Saccharomyces cerevisiae S288C: one gene and its partners. Changing the gene in region 3 together with the main gene of any one other region gives a genetic interaction. Each region holds a gene or a part of one and is shown on either strand. Other genes may lie near its edges.

Region 1 (3,897 bases), on a different chromosome or scaffold from region 3:
AAAGAACGTTAGTATGTGGTACTTTATCCAGCACTCTAGCTCAATACAAGTTACGTTCTCCAAGAATACTCGAGTGCATCTACACATCGTCTTTTATATATAAAAAGGACCGGTGGAACCGATATGTTGTTGGGTATACGAATATGATAACAAAAAAGGGCCAGATAACCCCAAGTTCCAACTTTGCTATCAGATTGAATATCAAAATTTTTTGACTGAGACTGACGGTACGGTTTCTCCTCTTTCCCCTAAGCATAGTAGCTAAAACTACCGAAAAAGCTATACCAATCGGAGTGAATTGCGAGGAGCATGACTAGATGTCACGAATGTTTTGGAGAAGACATGATAATGAGTTCACTTACTGTCACCGCCTGGGAAGCTTCCTCTGGTCCCTGTGCGGAAATGCATCACCGCCTAGCGACTCCCGCCGCAATCAGTGCCGTGCCATCTAGCGACGCCGTACGGCCACTCTACACTGCCAGCGACGTCGCTATCGGTATTGGTTGCCGTTAAGTGAAAAAAAAACAAACATCGCTATCTCAACAGAGTTCCACTGGGAAACAATAGACGCACTTTTATGCACCCTGGTGCCTTCAAAAAAGAAGTTTGACTAAGAGGGCTGAGGCTTAAGCTTTTTAACCGTAGTAGTTCAACTATATAAGATAACGATTTCGAAAAATAGGAAAGATACAACCATTCTTTATCGTACCTATAAGGATGTGAGTCCTTCTTATCAGGGGGAGTTACGTAAAAATGATTCCCCACTTTTTGTCTTCTAGAAACAAACCAGCCCCGCTGTCAAGATAAGCTTAATTTTGAATTGCTTTTTTTTTTCTTATCTTAGGTAAATAGTATACAAGCACTTACATAATTGATAAGAGAGCTCATGAAAAATGGATACCAACCTGGTGAAAAGCATATAATAGCCTTAGGAAATCATTTTGATCACATTTACCCGCTCTTTTGTCGCCTAAGTCGGTCTCCTTCAGAACTGTGTCAATCTTTTCCTTGACGACATCGTGCATAGAACCCTTTGTATCATCCACCATTTCGTTGTTCATCGCCAAAAATGTCTTATAATTCTTCTCCAGAATGTCCATCACGGTGGTCGATTTGAAGCCAGCTGAAATCGTTCTGTTTTTCCTCACAAAGACGATTCTCAACAAACCATCCCATTCGTTGTAATCCACTTGCGGTCTTGGATTTTTAATCTCTAGTCTAACAACGCTGGATTCCACTTGTGGTGGCGGTCTGAAGTTATTCTTACCCACTTTCATGATGTGTGTAACATTAGCCCACATTTGTACATTGGCGGATAATCTACAGTATAATGAGTCACCTGGTCTTGCCAGTAATCTTAAAGCAAACTCTCTTTGAAACATAAGAATAGATACTCTTGGTGGTCTTGGTTGGTTAATTAATTTGAAAACCAGAGGCGATGAGATCTGGTAAGGAGTGTTACTAATACAGATATCAAAGTATGGTAATTCAGTCTTCATAAAATCTCCAAGCATGATTTCTAACTTTTTCTCCACAGGTGTGCCACGTACCCTCTTAGTTAATTCTGCAGCCATTCTGGGATCCATTTCTACTGCCACTACGTTTTTTGCTTGTTCGAGGATCCTTACAGTTAGGTTACCTGTACCAGGACCAACCTCCAAAACAACATCTGAGGGTCTAATCTGTGCCTTATCAACAATACCTTGCGCCACCAAAGGATTTTTCAAAATATGCTGACCTAGATCTGTGTTGAATTTAAATACTGAACTCAAATGTTTCTCGGCAGAGACTTGTTTGGACGAAGTTGCTCCGGAGTACTTCTTTTTCGCAGCCTTTCCCATGGTATAATTTTATTTTTATTTGTATCGATATAAAAGGTACGACGTCTAAAGCTTCTAACCGAATGAGTCCACTGTATAATGCACTGTTCCTAATTTATCGATCTTATGTTATAACCAAATATTTTCAATTTTCAGCTCATCGCGATTTTCAAAAATTTTTCTACCCTCTAACCCGGGTAATACACAAGGATGGATTTATTATTATTATTGATTCTTATTATTATTACTACTCTGTTAGTAATTTACACACGAGGTGAGGAATACGTGAATGAATTAAATTGGTATCGTTAATTAATTATTAGACGCTAACTGTGTACATTATTTACTCATCTTCATAGACGTGGAAGGACAGTTTTCTCACTACTTTTTTTTCACTGACGTCATCGGTAGAACGGGATATCTTTGTCTCTGGGTTCTGTCCTTGGTGTTTACTAGTGAAGAAAATAGATATCTTCGAATTTCTTGGCGGCGTTATAAAACTGGGTAGGCTGATTTTTTTATCACCCAGTGGCAACGTCAGTGGTATAGTCTCATCGGTGAGAGGATCCTGTATGTAACCTTTGAATTCGTCAACACTTAAGTCCTTCAATGCAATTCTTCCTCCTTCCCTTAAAAATGCTCTTTCATAAGGGCAAATTTTAGCGGGTGAAAGGTTTTCTTTTACTTGGGAAGGATTATTCTCATTGCTCACAGAATTGTTATTATTGTATATTTCATTATGTCTGTGGACAGCTATGTTTCTTTCTTCAGCCGTTTCCTCATACAGCATAAATTGTGCAGCTTTAGAAATTTGGATTGTCTTTATTGGACTTCGCCTTAGTGCATAGTCTGTGTCTATTTGTGACCTTCTCTTTGATGGTGAACGAAGTTCATTGCCTTTTACCACTGCTCGTGGTTTTTGGTTTATATTCTTGCTTGATAAAATGGTTCTCTTTTTTGATGGTGATATCATCTTTCAGTGTCTCTTACTTTATTTCTTCCAAAGGATCCTAATTCAGTAATGCTTAATATGTTCTCCTTTCTTTTTACTTTATATAGTATGATAACAAAAGCACAAAACTTCAGAAAGAAGACGCGTCAACGCGCTACGCGAAATATGCATCAACTTTCTGCTGAAGAGAAGGCAATCAGCGAAAAACAGAAGTTGTTATTGTGTATTGTCGTGGTACTTCGTCGTCCCATTTGATATATCCATTCTAGGTAATCATGTTGGTATATGCAAGTAGGTATATGTACGTATTTATGAATATGTGTATTTGGCCGGAAAAAGATCGCCTATAAAATTTGTGTATGAATAAATAAAGTGCAAAATATGTATTGTTCCCCCTCCATGTTAAACAACGGAATGTGACGATATCCCATCCTCAAATAGTTCAGCTTAAGGCAAACAGATGCAATCTGGGTCTCTTCAGAGATAACCATGAATTTTATAAATGTGAGGTCTGTATCTTTCAATGTGATAGAAACTTCAGCATCCCATATTGGGTTGAATCCATTCCCTTGAGAACTCTTAGTGGATGCTTCAGTGGCAGAAATCCTTGTACCCTTATCGATTGAGATGGGCATTGTCGGCTCGTCATCGGTATGAAACTCCACTTTAACAAAGGAATTGGTGTTATTTCTGCTTGGCGATGTATCATTCAATCTGGGCAATAACTGTGTAGATAAAATTCGAATTTTAACAGTAACAGGATCACTACCATTTTCAAAATGTTCGTAAATTAATGGAATCATTTTCGCCTTTGTTACTACAGGTAGCAACTTTTTTGGTTTTAGCACGTATCCTGATTTAAAACTTCCATCAGGTTGGTGATCTAATATTTGAAACATTGCCAGATTAAGTTGCTGTCCAATATCATTAGTTTGCCAATTCGTAGCCACCATTTGTACACCGGCCTTCCAAAAAGGTATTGGGTTAAAATTTGATGATTTGTATCGTAAAACGTGAGGATAGACTCTCATCAAATATCTTCTATTATGTTTATCCAACGATAATTTTAAGTGTTTGTCTTTTATCATGTATTCTACTTTGCGCTCATTCAGTGAAAAACAATGC
Region 2 (3,004 bases), 190 kb from region 3:
ACGAAGCCCACGATAAGCAGCGTAAGAAGTCCGTGCCGCCACCAAGAATGATGGTCACAAGGTCCATGAAACGCAGAAGATCCAGCTCCCCAACCCTATCCACCAGCCAAAACCACAATAGCGAAGACAATGATGACGCTAGCCATCGGCTGAAGCGTGCGGCCAGGACCATTATTCCCTGGGAGGAACTAAGACCCGACACTCTGGAATCTGAGCTGTGAAACGGGCGTCCTGCTTTTTCATTCTACACAGGCATATGTAACAGCAGTGTATAGGCTATGTAAATCGGCCCAATCAACAAACAAGCGTTGCTTATTGGACTTGCTACTACCCCAACAAAGGAGAGAGCCTTTGATTGCATCCTCGGAAGAGACGGCATAAACACCGAGCCTCATCCTACAATGAAAAACCACGCCAGTTGGATATAAACCAGAAAAGGGTTTCAATTCAGTATCCACCATGAGCAAGACAAGATAAGACAAGATTGCATAAAAATGAGTGCTTCCAAAATGGCCATGTCCAACCTAGAGAAAATATTGGAACTGGTTCCTCTTTCGCCTACCAGTTTTGTCACAAAGTATCTGCCTGCCGCGCCCGTAGGGTCTAAGGGCACTTTTGGTGGAACGCTGGTATCACAATCGCTGCTGGCGTCATTGCATACTGTGCCATTGAACTTCTTCCCCACATCGCTACATTCGTATTTCATCAAGGGTGGTGATCCGCGGACCAAGATCACGTACCATGTGCAGAATCTGAGAAACGGTAGAAATTTCATCCATAAGCAGGTTAGTGCTTATCAGCACGACAAGTTGATATTTACGTCGATGATCTTATTTGCCGTGCAACGGTCCAAGGAGCACGACTCCTTGCAGCACTGGGAGACGATTCCAGGCCTGCAAGGTAAGCAGCCAGACCCTCATCGTTATGAAGAGGCCACTTCGCTTTTCCAGAAAGAAGTTCTGGACCCACAGAAATTGAGCAGGTATGCCTCATTGTCCGACAGGTTCCAAGACGCAACCTCGATGAGCAAGTATGTGGATGCGTTTCAATACGGAGTCATGGAGTACCAATTCCCCAAGGACATGTTCTACTCGGCAAGACACACCGACGAGCTGGATTATTTCGTCAAAGTGAGACCTCCCATCACTACCGTGGAGCACGCGGGCGACGAGTCTTCTTTACACAAGCATCATCCGTACAGGATCCCGAAGAGCATTACTCCTGAGAACGACGCTCGCTACAACTACGTGGCCTTTGCGTATCTGTCCGATTCCTACCTCCTACTCACGATCCCGTACTTCCACAACCTGCCTTTGTACTGCCACAGTTTCAGTGTCTCGCTCGACCACACGATTTACTTTCACCAGTTGCCTCATGTGAACAATTGGATCTATCTTAAGATTTCGAATCCCAGGTCCCACTGGGACAAGCACCTCGTACAGGGCAAGTATTTCGACACACAGTCGGGACGCATCATGGCAAGCGTCTCTCAGGAGGGCTACGTTGTCTACGGGTCAGAACGAGACATTCGAGCCAAGTTCTGAGGACAATTCCCTCCCACGTATAAACACATACATATATATTCTTATATTATATAATAATATCCTATTTATTATTACATCACCTTTCACGAGCGGGTATCATACCTTTTTCCCTTCGATCTAAGTAGAAAAAGGACCTGAATGATCATTGTGGTACTTATTCCCACGCATAACCGACTACGGCACCACAACGACGCACCAATGCCATCTGACGTAGCATCGAGGACCGGGCTGCCAACCCCGTGGACCGTCAGGTATAGTAAGTCCAAGAAAAGAGAGTATTTTTTCAATCCAGAGACGAAGCACTCGCAATGGGAGGAGCCTGAGGGCACCAACAAGGACCAGCTACACAAGCACTTAAGAGACCATCCAGTGCGTGTAAGATGCCTGCACATTCTCATCAAGCACAAGGATTCAAGAAGACCCGCATCGCATAGATCCGAGAACATTACGATATCCAAGCAAGACGCTACGGACGAACTGAAAACCTTAATCACGAGGTTGGATGACGACTCTAAGACGAACTCCTTCGAGGCCCTGGCTAAAGAGAGATCAGATTGCTCTTCATACAAGCGAGGCGGCGACCTCGGCTGGTTCGGGAGAGGCGAGATGCAGCCTAGCTTTGAAGACGCTGCCTTCCAGCTCAAGGTCGGCGAGGTAAGCGATATCGTTGAATCAGGAAGCGGTGTTCATGTGATCAAGCGGGTAGGTTAGGTTGGCATTTGCTTCTCCACCTCACCTTTTTATGTTCTTATTCCCTCTTGTATCCATTCCGTCCTCGCTGAACCCATGAAAAGAAAAAAAATTAACTAGTCACATAGTTAAATGGCGCTGTTCTTCGCTGCGAGCGGAACCGGGCCTGAAAAAAAATTTTCTCTTTTCCTCTCCAGATGACTCAGTAATATAGTAGTATATTATATAATGTAACAAAAGAAGAGACTGAAGTTTTATTATGCATTGTAGCGCCTGTAATCTTTAGTAACGGATTCTTGTATTTTTTTGTAAACAGCCAAGAAAAAAGTAGAGATGGGCTTGTTAACGAAAGTTGCTACATCTAGACAATTCTCTACAACGAGATGCGTTGCAAAGAAGCTCAACAAGTACTCGTATATCATCACTGAACCTAAGGGCCAAGGTGCGTCCCAGGCCATGCTTTATGCCACCGGTTTCAAGAAGGAAGATTTCAAGAAGCCTCAAGTCGGGGTTGGTTCCTGTTGGTGGTCCGGTAACCCATGTAACATGCATCTATTGGACTTGAATAACAGATGTTCTCAATCCATTGAAAAAGCGGGTTTGAAAGCTATGCAGTTCAACACCATCGGTGTTTCAGACGGTATCTCTATGGGTACTAAAGGTATGAGATACTCGTTACAAAGTAGAGAAATCATTGCAGACTCCTTTGAAACCATCATGATGGCACAACACTACGATGCTAACATCGCCATCCCATCATGTGACAAAAA
Region 3 (4,689 bases):
ACCGTTAGAAGAAGAAAAGCCTCCTAAAGAAAATAATGAATTGATTGGTCTAGCGGATCTTGTTTATTCGTCTATAATGAGCAGTGATGTGGATCTAAGAGCGACACTAGCTCATAATGTTGTCCTTACAGGCGGTACATCCTCTATTCCTGGATTAAGTGATAGGTTAATGACAGAACTAAACAAAATACTACCATCCCTTAAATTTAGAATATTAACAACAGGGCACACTATCGAAAGGCAATACCAGTCATGGCTTGGCGGTAGTATACTTACAAGTCTGGGAACATTTCACCAACTGTGGGTTGGGAAAAAGGAATACGAAGAGGTGGGCGTCGAAAGATTGCTTAACGATAGGTTTAGATAGGAATAGAAAACGTTGTTGAATGACAAGTCGCCTTTCAGTTTAGCAGTTTGAGCGACCATTCATCTACTCGATCAATATCTCAGTGATAAATAAATTGTCTTGATTCTACTATAACCCTTTTGTAAAATAAAAAAAATTTCTACGATGGACCGGTTTTGTTTCCTAGGGAGTAATGAACTTGGCCTATAACTAAGAAGGAGGTTCAAAAATTTAAATATGTTCATTTTTAAAATCATAACACTATATATATCGACACCGTAGAACTAACTACTCGGGAAACCCATTGCGTAAAAATATAAAAAAACTATGAAACGTCACGAAAAAATGATGGTTGTAATAACTGCTAGCAAGGGAAGGTAAGTAGTCGAAAGAAAAAAAAAAATGCATACTTCTAAAATGTTGGGGCGGAAGAAGCAAAAGGTTAAGCAAGCGCGTTTTCAACTCTATCAAGGGCGGCTTTGATCTTCATACCGATACGCGTACTCAATTCGTAATCGGCGGCATAATTTTGGGCTCTTAGCAGCCATTCCCTACATTCATTCAAACTTTCCATGCCACCCAGTTTCCAACAGAATAAAGCTCTCTCATAAAGAGCGGCTGGATATGCCCATGGGTCTTCGGTTTTTTTGAAATATTTGACTTTGCCATTTTGAATGTAGAATATTTTTGGCAGAACAATGTCATCTAACAAGGCTAAACCTCTTTCAGCATCCCCCAATCTTCTTAAGGTCAAGGATAGTAGTAAGTTTCTGATCAGCTCTTGATCTGGGTCTTCCGAATCAATGGCGGGGTTGTGATACTCTGTCAACATCTTTTTGGTCAAAATTAAATCGTTTTCAGTCATCCTGTTGTAACCGTTGTAGAAATAAGCCAGTTCATGGACAGGTGATGTTGCTATTGAGTCTAGTGGTTCTTGTAGGTTTAATTTCTTCTGCATATTATTAAATTGTTGAACTTTTCTAAGCATGAATCTATCCAATGGAAGATTTTTGGATTTGAACGTTTTCTTACCTAACAAAGATGGAGCGTCAAATATGAGTTCTCGAGCCCGCTCTTTATAGAATTGTTCTTTACCGTCATTTAATAAGCCTAATTGTGTCATCCTCCAATTTTCCAAGTAACAGCAACCCGCAAAATAAGTGTACAATGCGTGAGACCAATCACTAATATCAAGCAAACTTATTAAATCATCGGCAGCTCTGTTGTATTCGTGTAAGTTGACTAAAAGGATCGCACGTTCAAACACCATCAACGATTTCACTTGTCTCATACGGATACTATTGACATCAATAGAGTCCATTAGGGCCAGAGAATCACGAAGCCTGCCCTTTCCAGCAAGCATTTTGGCCTCATTTAGCAGCCACAGGGCACTATTAGGAAAAAGTGCTCTTGCTTTTAGTAATGCGTCCTCCAGAATTTTTCCAGGATGCAATAAGGTTGCACTGTCCATATAACCTGGTAAAAGGCTACTATCGTTTGTTCTGCTTTTGTTTAAAGCCCTCGATCCATTATCGTTTGGTGGTATATCAAAGTCAGCATCTGTAAATTGGAAAGGACCGTCGTAATAAAACATCAGACCTAACAAACCTATACACCCGTGAACATTTCTCTCCTTTGTAGCCTTCCAAACTAGCCTCAAACCTTCTTCACGGGATCCCTTGAATCCAACAATAGATAGCACAGCACCGATTGCAGGTGGAAGTAAGGATAAGACGACTTGCAAGATACCATAGCATAAATTAGCACCTGAATGGATGAATTCGTCGATGGTAGCCTGTTCTAAATCGAAATCATCTGAAACAGAATGGCGGTCGGAAGCTTGAGACGGAGTCGTCTGTAAACCCAAATCATCCCTTAACCTATGAAAAGATGGAGTATTGCCAATATGGGCACCTGATAACCTTCCCATTCTCATCGTGTAGATTTTTTCAGCAAATTCCAATAGGAGTGGATTGGACTTGTCCTCGGAAGACAATTTGTATGGTATATCAACCGATATGAAAGTTGTCTCTGCAGAAACAAAACTTCCGCATGACTCTTGGCTCTTTTCGCTTGGAGAGGGAGAGCTCGAATTTTTCGATCGTTCAGCTTTTTTGACAGTAACCATGATATCTTGTAACATTGTATAAGCCCTCCTTAACTTTAGCAAAGCCTTGGCTGCTTCCATCATGCTTTCACTAAATAACATCAACAAGGCATGCAACAGACATGACTCAGTATATGTTACAGCATAGACAGTACCGGGAGGATATATTGAACTGCTCCTAAAATTGGTCTTTTCAGCATTTTGCTTACTTTTCCAGGACATTTGCTCAGCTTTGCCTAAAGTAATTGCAGCTCTTTTCATTTCTTCAGTTTCAAAACTCAAAGTGGCTTGAAGAAATTCAATAACACCTCTTGCCAAAGTCAAGATAGTTTGATCTGAACCAGTTTCCATTTCAGCTTTTTTCAGCAAATTCAACCCTTCATCCGTTCTATCATCAAGGACAAAATCCATTGCCTTTAAGGCGATCTCAAAGTCATTAGCCTGCTTCAGAACCTGTTTTGTCTTTGTTGATTGCTCTTCACCAGAAGATTGATTACCCTTTGATCCAAATGAACCAAATACTCTAAACATCTTCTACTATCTTTCGTTTTGGCGCACTGTTTGCCCTTCCTCCTATTATGTTCTATTTCTTTCTATCAGGTAATTCCTATACCGGTAACAAGACGCTTATATATACAATTCGCTATATATACTGATAGAAATATGCAAAAGGAAGAATGAGTGAAAAGAGCATTGGAAAATAAATTTAGTAATACAAAGGTGGGGAGAATATGAATTAAATAATCCGAGGGACGAAATTAGAAAATAGCCCAAGATAGGGGGTGGGGGTACCGCTGGAAAGACAAAGACTATAAGCATGAAATGAAAAACGACCATTATGCTCGAGAGATCTGGAGACAAATAAAGCAAAAGGTCCGACGAACAAAATCCGCGGAACGGAAAAACTTCTAAAAGTGAAGGAAAATTGAGAAAAAAAAAAAAAAAGATAATATTTTCATTTCTTTCATTCGTCCTTTCGTTGTATACATAAGGGTCATTGTTAACTCATCGTCATTCATTATTAACACAGGAAGAGAACTTCTGCAAATAATGCCAGGCATCATATTCTGACATTTCTGAGATCGCGTTTGATGTTTTTCAATTCCTGTCGGACTGAAAGCTTTGATGGCTTATCTAGAGGGTTATTAGCGTTGTGATAGTGATCGGAAGTGGCAGGCTTCACGTTAATTGTACCGAGAACATAGCCGTCAACGCTATTCCAAACTCTCTGGTCCAGCTCATTCGTTAGCTTTCGGCCATAGAGACATTGATCAACCAGCCACATGCCCACTATAAACGATTTTCTGTCTAAGGTACCGTCTTTTCTTGTGTCGACCATATTGTATATTTGCACTAGAAGATCCCTGGGTAGGTTTGATCGATACCATATATCTTTTACGACTAAGTTAAGCATCAGGCCGTCTTGCGGTAAATTTAAGGGCTGTAAGTGAGACTCGTCGTCTTCATTCGCGAGAGAGGGCCACCACGGCAGCAAGCGCAAATACGAGTATCTGTTTGATACCCACATAGACTCGTATCTTTTTCTTTCTTGTTCGGTAATAAACCCGAGATCTCTATGAGATTTCCACGGTTTATCTTCATTGAATTTGTGAGAACTTGTATGATGGTGCGTGTGTAAGTGATGAGAATTCGGGTTATGGAGCTGATGGTGATGATGATGGTGATGAGGGAACGGAAGGACAGAGGTACTACTCCCAACTACAGCTGCTGTTGTTTTCAACCCCTTCTTTATCTTAGAGCGACGACTTTTCTTCTTCTTGTCCTTGATTTCCATCACATTAGAATCTTCATCTGTGTCTGAGTCTGATGATACAGACTTTCTGTCGTAGGGAAAAGTTTCATCATTGTCTGTAATTGCGTACTTCCCGCGCCTCATAGTTGTCTTTAACTTTACATTTTGCTGCGTGTTTATGATTGCCCTACCATTCTGCGTTTGGTCCGAATACACACGTGATAAGTTTTCTTGCTGCTGCTCAGGTGATCGTAAAAGCCTGTGCTTGAACCTGGGTTTACTTGTCTTCCTTTGGCTTCGCGGTATTAGGTCGGGTAAAGTGCCTTTATATATTATATTTCCTCCATTGAGTTTATTCATTGCCGTATAGTCTGACTCTTGCTGCCGCTGTGAGGGGTCCGTTAGAGAAGCCTTTGCTGAGGCTTTGGACGCAAGACTATAAGAAGACATGGAAGGTTCAGGAGGAAATGCCTCATCGGTGCT
Region 4 (3,731 bases), on a different chromosome or scaffold from region 3:
ACTTTTATAGGCGGCTTATAATATAGCACAAGGTCGGGCAAGTAACAAAATACAGCACTTCCTCCATTCTTATCAGGGTAGTAAGAGACTGAATCCCGAATCTCTTTTTCATTAATAACAATTTTGTTTTCTTCGATTTTCATGTTCTTGGTGGAAGAAAAAGTTTCCAACCAAGAATTGAGTTTATGTAATAATGATTCTGGGACAGGTGGCAATAAGGTAACACCCTCTCTTTTTTTCAATTCCATTTTATGATTTGCCGTTTCAGTTCTAGAAGTTTTCAAAGCAGAGTTTCGTTTGAATATTTTACCAATGGATTTTGAAAATCGTTTACCAGCACTAAATTCATGCTTGGATCCCGAATGTTGGAACAGGTGCTTAACACTCACAATTTCGGGATATTTATTAGGACCATCATTAGTACATGCCATTTCCTCTTTCCTCGCCACCAGATTTTAAGGCAGTTGATGTTTGCTTCCAAGGGAGAAAAGGAACTTATAACGGTTAAAATTAATAGAGCCTGAAGAGAATGAAGGCAGCCAAGACATTGATTAACATCCTACAATTGTAGAGCAGTCAAACGAGTTAATACCACAAATGTCAGTAATTAGTGGAACTTGTGCAAGTATCACCCGGCCAGCTTGCCAAGGCGGAAAAGTAAGTCAAAAGGCACACCTCAGCGTTTGAGTACCTGAAAAACGATGAATCGCAAATAAAACTTTAAATTATGCCTGTTATACATAAAGCCATTTATATATTTATGTATTTTATGAAAAAGATCATGAGAAAATCGCAGAACGTAATCATATCTTTTCAATGACAATAGAGGAAGCACCACCACCACCATTACAAATGGCGGCAACACCGATCTTACCTCCTTCTTGCTGTAAGATGGATAGCAGTGTAACAACCACTCTAGCACCAGAACAACCCAATGGGTGACCTAGAGCAACAGCACCACCATATACATTAACCTTAGATGGGTCTAGCTTCAAAATCTTAGTGTTCACCAAACCGACAACCGAAAAGGCTTCATTGAATTCAAAGTAATCAACAGAATTGATGTCTTCGATGCCAGCATGTTTCAAAGCCTTTGGAACTGCAAGAGATGGAGCCCATGTAAAATCAGCTGGTTGATGAGCGGCCTCACCCCAACCTTTGATAATAGCCAAAGGCTTCAAATTCTTTTCCTTCAAAACTTTTTCGGAAACCAAGATGACGGCTGCAGCACCATCGTTGATTGGAGAAGCGTTAGCGGCAGTAACAGTACCGTTTTCTTTTTGGAAAACAGTCCTTGCAGATCTCAATTTTTCAACGTGTAATCTAGCAGGTTCCTCGTCCTTCGTGACTTGAGTATCAGGCTTACCTCTAAATCCCTTAATGGTAACAGGTACAATTTCATTGTCGAATTTACCTTCCTTTTGAGATTTTTGAGATTTTTGGTAGGATTCGATGGCAAAATTGTCTTGTTGTTCTCTAGTAATATCCCAATCACGGGCACACTTTTCTGCGTGTACACCCATGGCTAGACCATCGTACGCATCGTTCAACCCATCTCTTTCGACACCATCAACAAGAACAGTTTGGCCAAATTTGGCACCCGCACGGGCTGCTGGCATGTAGTATGGTGCGTTAGTCATAGATTCACAACCACCAGCTACGACAACATCAGCATTACCACATTTGATGGATTGAGCACCCAAAATGATTGCCTTCATAGCGGATGCACAGACCTTGTTAACTGTGCTTGCAACGATATGATTACTCAAACCGGCAGCCAAAGCAACTTGTCTGGCCGGAGCTTGGCCCAAATTGGCAGAAAGAACGTTACCAAAAATAATTTCGTCAAAATCCTTGGATGCATCCAATTCTGGAACCTTAGCCAAGGCGCCTTTTAAAGCAACAGCACCCAATTCCACTGCTGTCTTGGAGGATAGAGAACCCTGGAATGAACCAATTGGGGTTCTGGCAGTCGATACAATGTAAACGTTCTGAGACATTTTGAGTACGTCTAATCTGTATAAATATATATGATATGGCGCTTGTTTTAGGCTACCTTTTTTCAGAGAACTAGAAAACGAGTAGGCTTAGCAGTGCTCTTAATGGAAGCGCTTGTTCCTCTTTTATATATTTTACTGCCCTTTGCTCAACGGTGGCCTATCAACCTGGCCACGAACGTGTGGTGGGCTAGTAGTACCGTACTCTCCAGCGAAAAAACCGGCTTGGGCGGTAAACGACAGGCACCTCGTTATAAGTGACGTGCCTGTTAGGAAACGATAAACCCGGCAGGGCACAACAATGGCATCATACCAGAAATGTATCATGTTAAGGCTTTCAAGCAGTGTAGCTGTTTCTATTTACAGGATATATCGTAGATTATGTACGCAATCTTCTTCTCGAAGATGAGAGGTGACCTCTTGTAGAACCAAAGGGCTTATGTGCGTAAGGATTCTTCTTTAATCGATCAAGTTTCTCGAAAATAATCATCTCACAGAAATACTTCAAATCTTTAGCAGATTCCATGTCAATGAAGTAGTTTGGGTACCTGTTGCTGAGCCAGAAGTATAGAGTAATGATGTTGTACAATGACTCATAAACCTCTAATGAATAACTCTCATTCGGTATGCAATTGTAGTCCAGTAGGTTAAAAGGTAATCGGTATGACAGTAGGCCTCTTGTATGCCTTTTTGCTATTGTTTCGCAAAATTTGGTGAACGCCTTTGTGACCATAGGCATGTCCTTCACGGGCGCATTGCTTAGTTTCAGCTTGTCGAAAAATGGGATATCTTCCATGTGCTCGAATAAGCCAATAACTTTCAGTTTGCTCTTTAAATCAGATAACGTGAACAGGTTGTCAGAACTTTTCTCTAGCTCATCTGAAATAGTCTGCAGCAGGACACTGGTCGGCGTTCCTGGTGGGAATTGTGTCATTAGTTGAGCACATATTTCATCTGTAGGCCATGTAACCGCAGTTTTTAAATACTCCACAGGTGCTTCAATAGCTTTTCTTACACTTTTCAAAACTTTTGATTCGAAACTGGTGATAAAACCCTGAGGAACACCCCCGGAGGCAGATCTAGATTTGAACCTTCCCGCACGACCACCTATTTGTTTGATTTGAGAAGAAGTCATTTCCATTAGTTCTTCACCATTATATTTCATATTTGTCGTGAATACAACTCTGTCAATAGACAGGTTTAAACCCATACCAATAGCGTCTGATGCTACCATTATGTCATACTCTCCATTGTTGAATAGGGCGGCTTGTTGAACACGTGTTTCAGGCGGCAAAGAGCCATAAATTACAGCAACTTTCAAATTGGTGTCTTTCTCTATCTTTAGCTTGAGATCCAATATTTTCTTCTTTGAAAACGCAACGACGCAATCTCCTTTGCGCAAACCTTTGATGCCATCTTTGATAGGTTTTTCTTCAACACTTAACTTTCCTAACCTCTCATATTCATTAATCGTTAATTTATCGCCAGTCATTTTAACAATGCTCTTAACCAAAGGTAGAACACTCTTTTCACCACAAAGATGGACCTCCTTGGAAACGACACCTAAAAGCGCGTTCGTCCAAGCCCAGCCACGATCCCCATCAGACATCATTTGAATTTCATCAAGAACAACAACGTCAAATTTTTGATTTATTGGCACCATTTCTACTGTGCCTGATGTCAGCCCTGCTGAATTTCCTCTATCATCCAAATCACGAATAACTTCCTCTCCAG

Evidence for each region.
Region 1: mutations in IML2 (region 3) and DIM1 together harm fitness more than expected from each alone (negative genetic interaction), as found in Saccharomyces cerevisiae (2 studies listed by BioGRID).
Region 2: mutations in IML2 (region 3) and ESS1 impair growth when combined (synthetic growth defect), as found in Saccharomyces cerevisiae (2 studies listed by BioGRID, with this or other methods).
Region 4: mutations in IML2 (region 3) and ERG10 together harm fitness more than expected from each alone (negative genetic interaction), as found in Saccharomyces cerevisiae (2 studies listed by BioGRID).

What each region holds. Positions count from the first base shown.
Region 1 is NC_001148.4:37,065-40,961, reverse strand, and holds DIM1 (putative dimethyladenosine transferase), read right to left. Parts: upstream 1,842-3,897; coding exon 885-1,841; downstream 1-884. Other genes in the region: ACM1 (Acm1p), read right to left, coding at 2,164-2,793; PLC1 (phosphatidylinositol phospholipase C), read right to left, coding at 3,117-3,897. UniProt on the Saccharomyces cerevisiae protein: Specifically dimethylates two adjacent adenosines in the loop of a conserved hairpin near the 3'-end of 18S rRNA in the 40S particle.
Region 2 is NC_001142.9:465,772-468,775, reverse strand, and holds ESS1 (peptidylprolyl isomerase ESS1), read left to right. Parts: upstream 1-1,742; coding exon 1,743-2,255; downstream 2,256-3,004. Other genes in the region: REC107 (Rec107p), read left to right, coding at 1-221; TES1 (palmitoyl-CoA hydrolase), read left to right, coding at 495-1,544; dihydroxy-acid dehydratase ILV3, read left to right, coding at 2,568-3,004. UniProt on the Saccharomyces cerevisiae protein: Essential PPIase specific for phosphoserine and phosphothreonine N-terminal to the proline residue.
Region 3 is NC_001142.9:279,480-284,168, reverse strand, and holds IML2 (Iml2p), read right to left. Parts: upstream 2,985-4,689; coding exon 789-2,984; downstream 1-788. Other genes in the region: ARP4 (Arp4p), read left to right, coding at 1-367; TAX4 (Tax4p), read right to left, coding at 3,514-4,689. UniProt on the Saccharomyces cerevisiae protein: Inclusion body (IB) resident protein that interacts strongly with lipid droplet (LD) proteins.
Region 4 is NC_001148.4:496,365-500,095, reverse strand, and holds ERG10 (acetyl-CoA C-acetyltransferase), read right to left. Parts: upstream 2,001-3,731; coding exon 804-2,000; downstream 1-803. Other genes in the region: SMA1 (Sma1p), read right to left, coding at 1-431; ATP-dependent RNA helicase SUV3, read right to left, coding at 2,377-3,731. UniProt on the Saccharomyces cerevisiae protein: Acetyl-CoA acetyltransferase; part of the first module of ergosterol biosynthesis pathway that includes the early steps of the pathway, conserved across all eukaryotes, and which results in the formation of mevalonate from acetyl-coenzyme A (acetyl-CoA).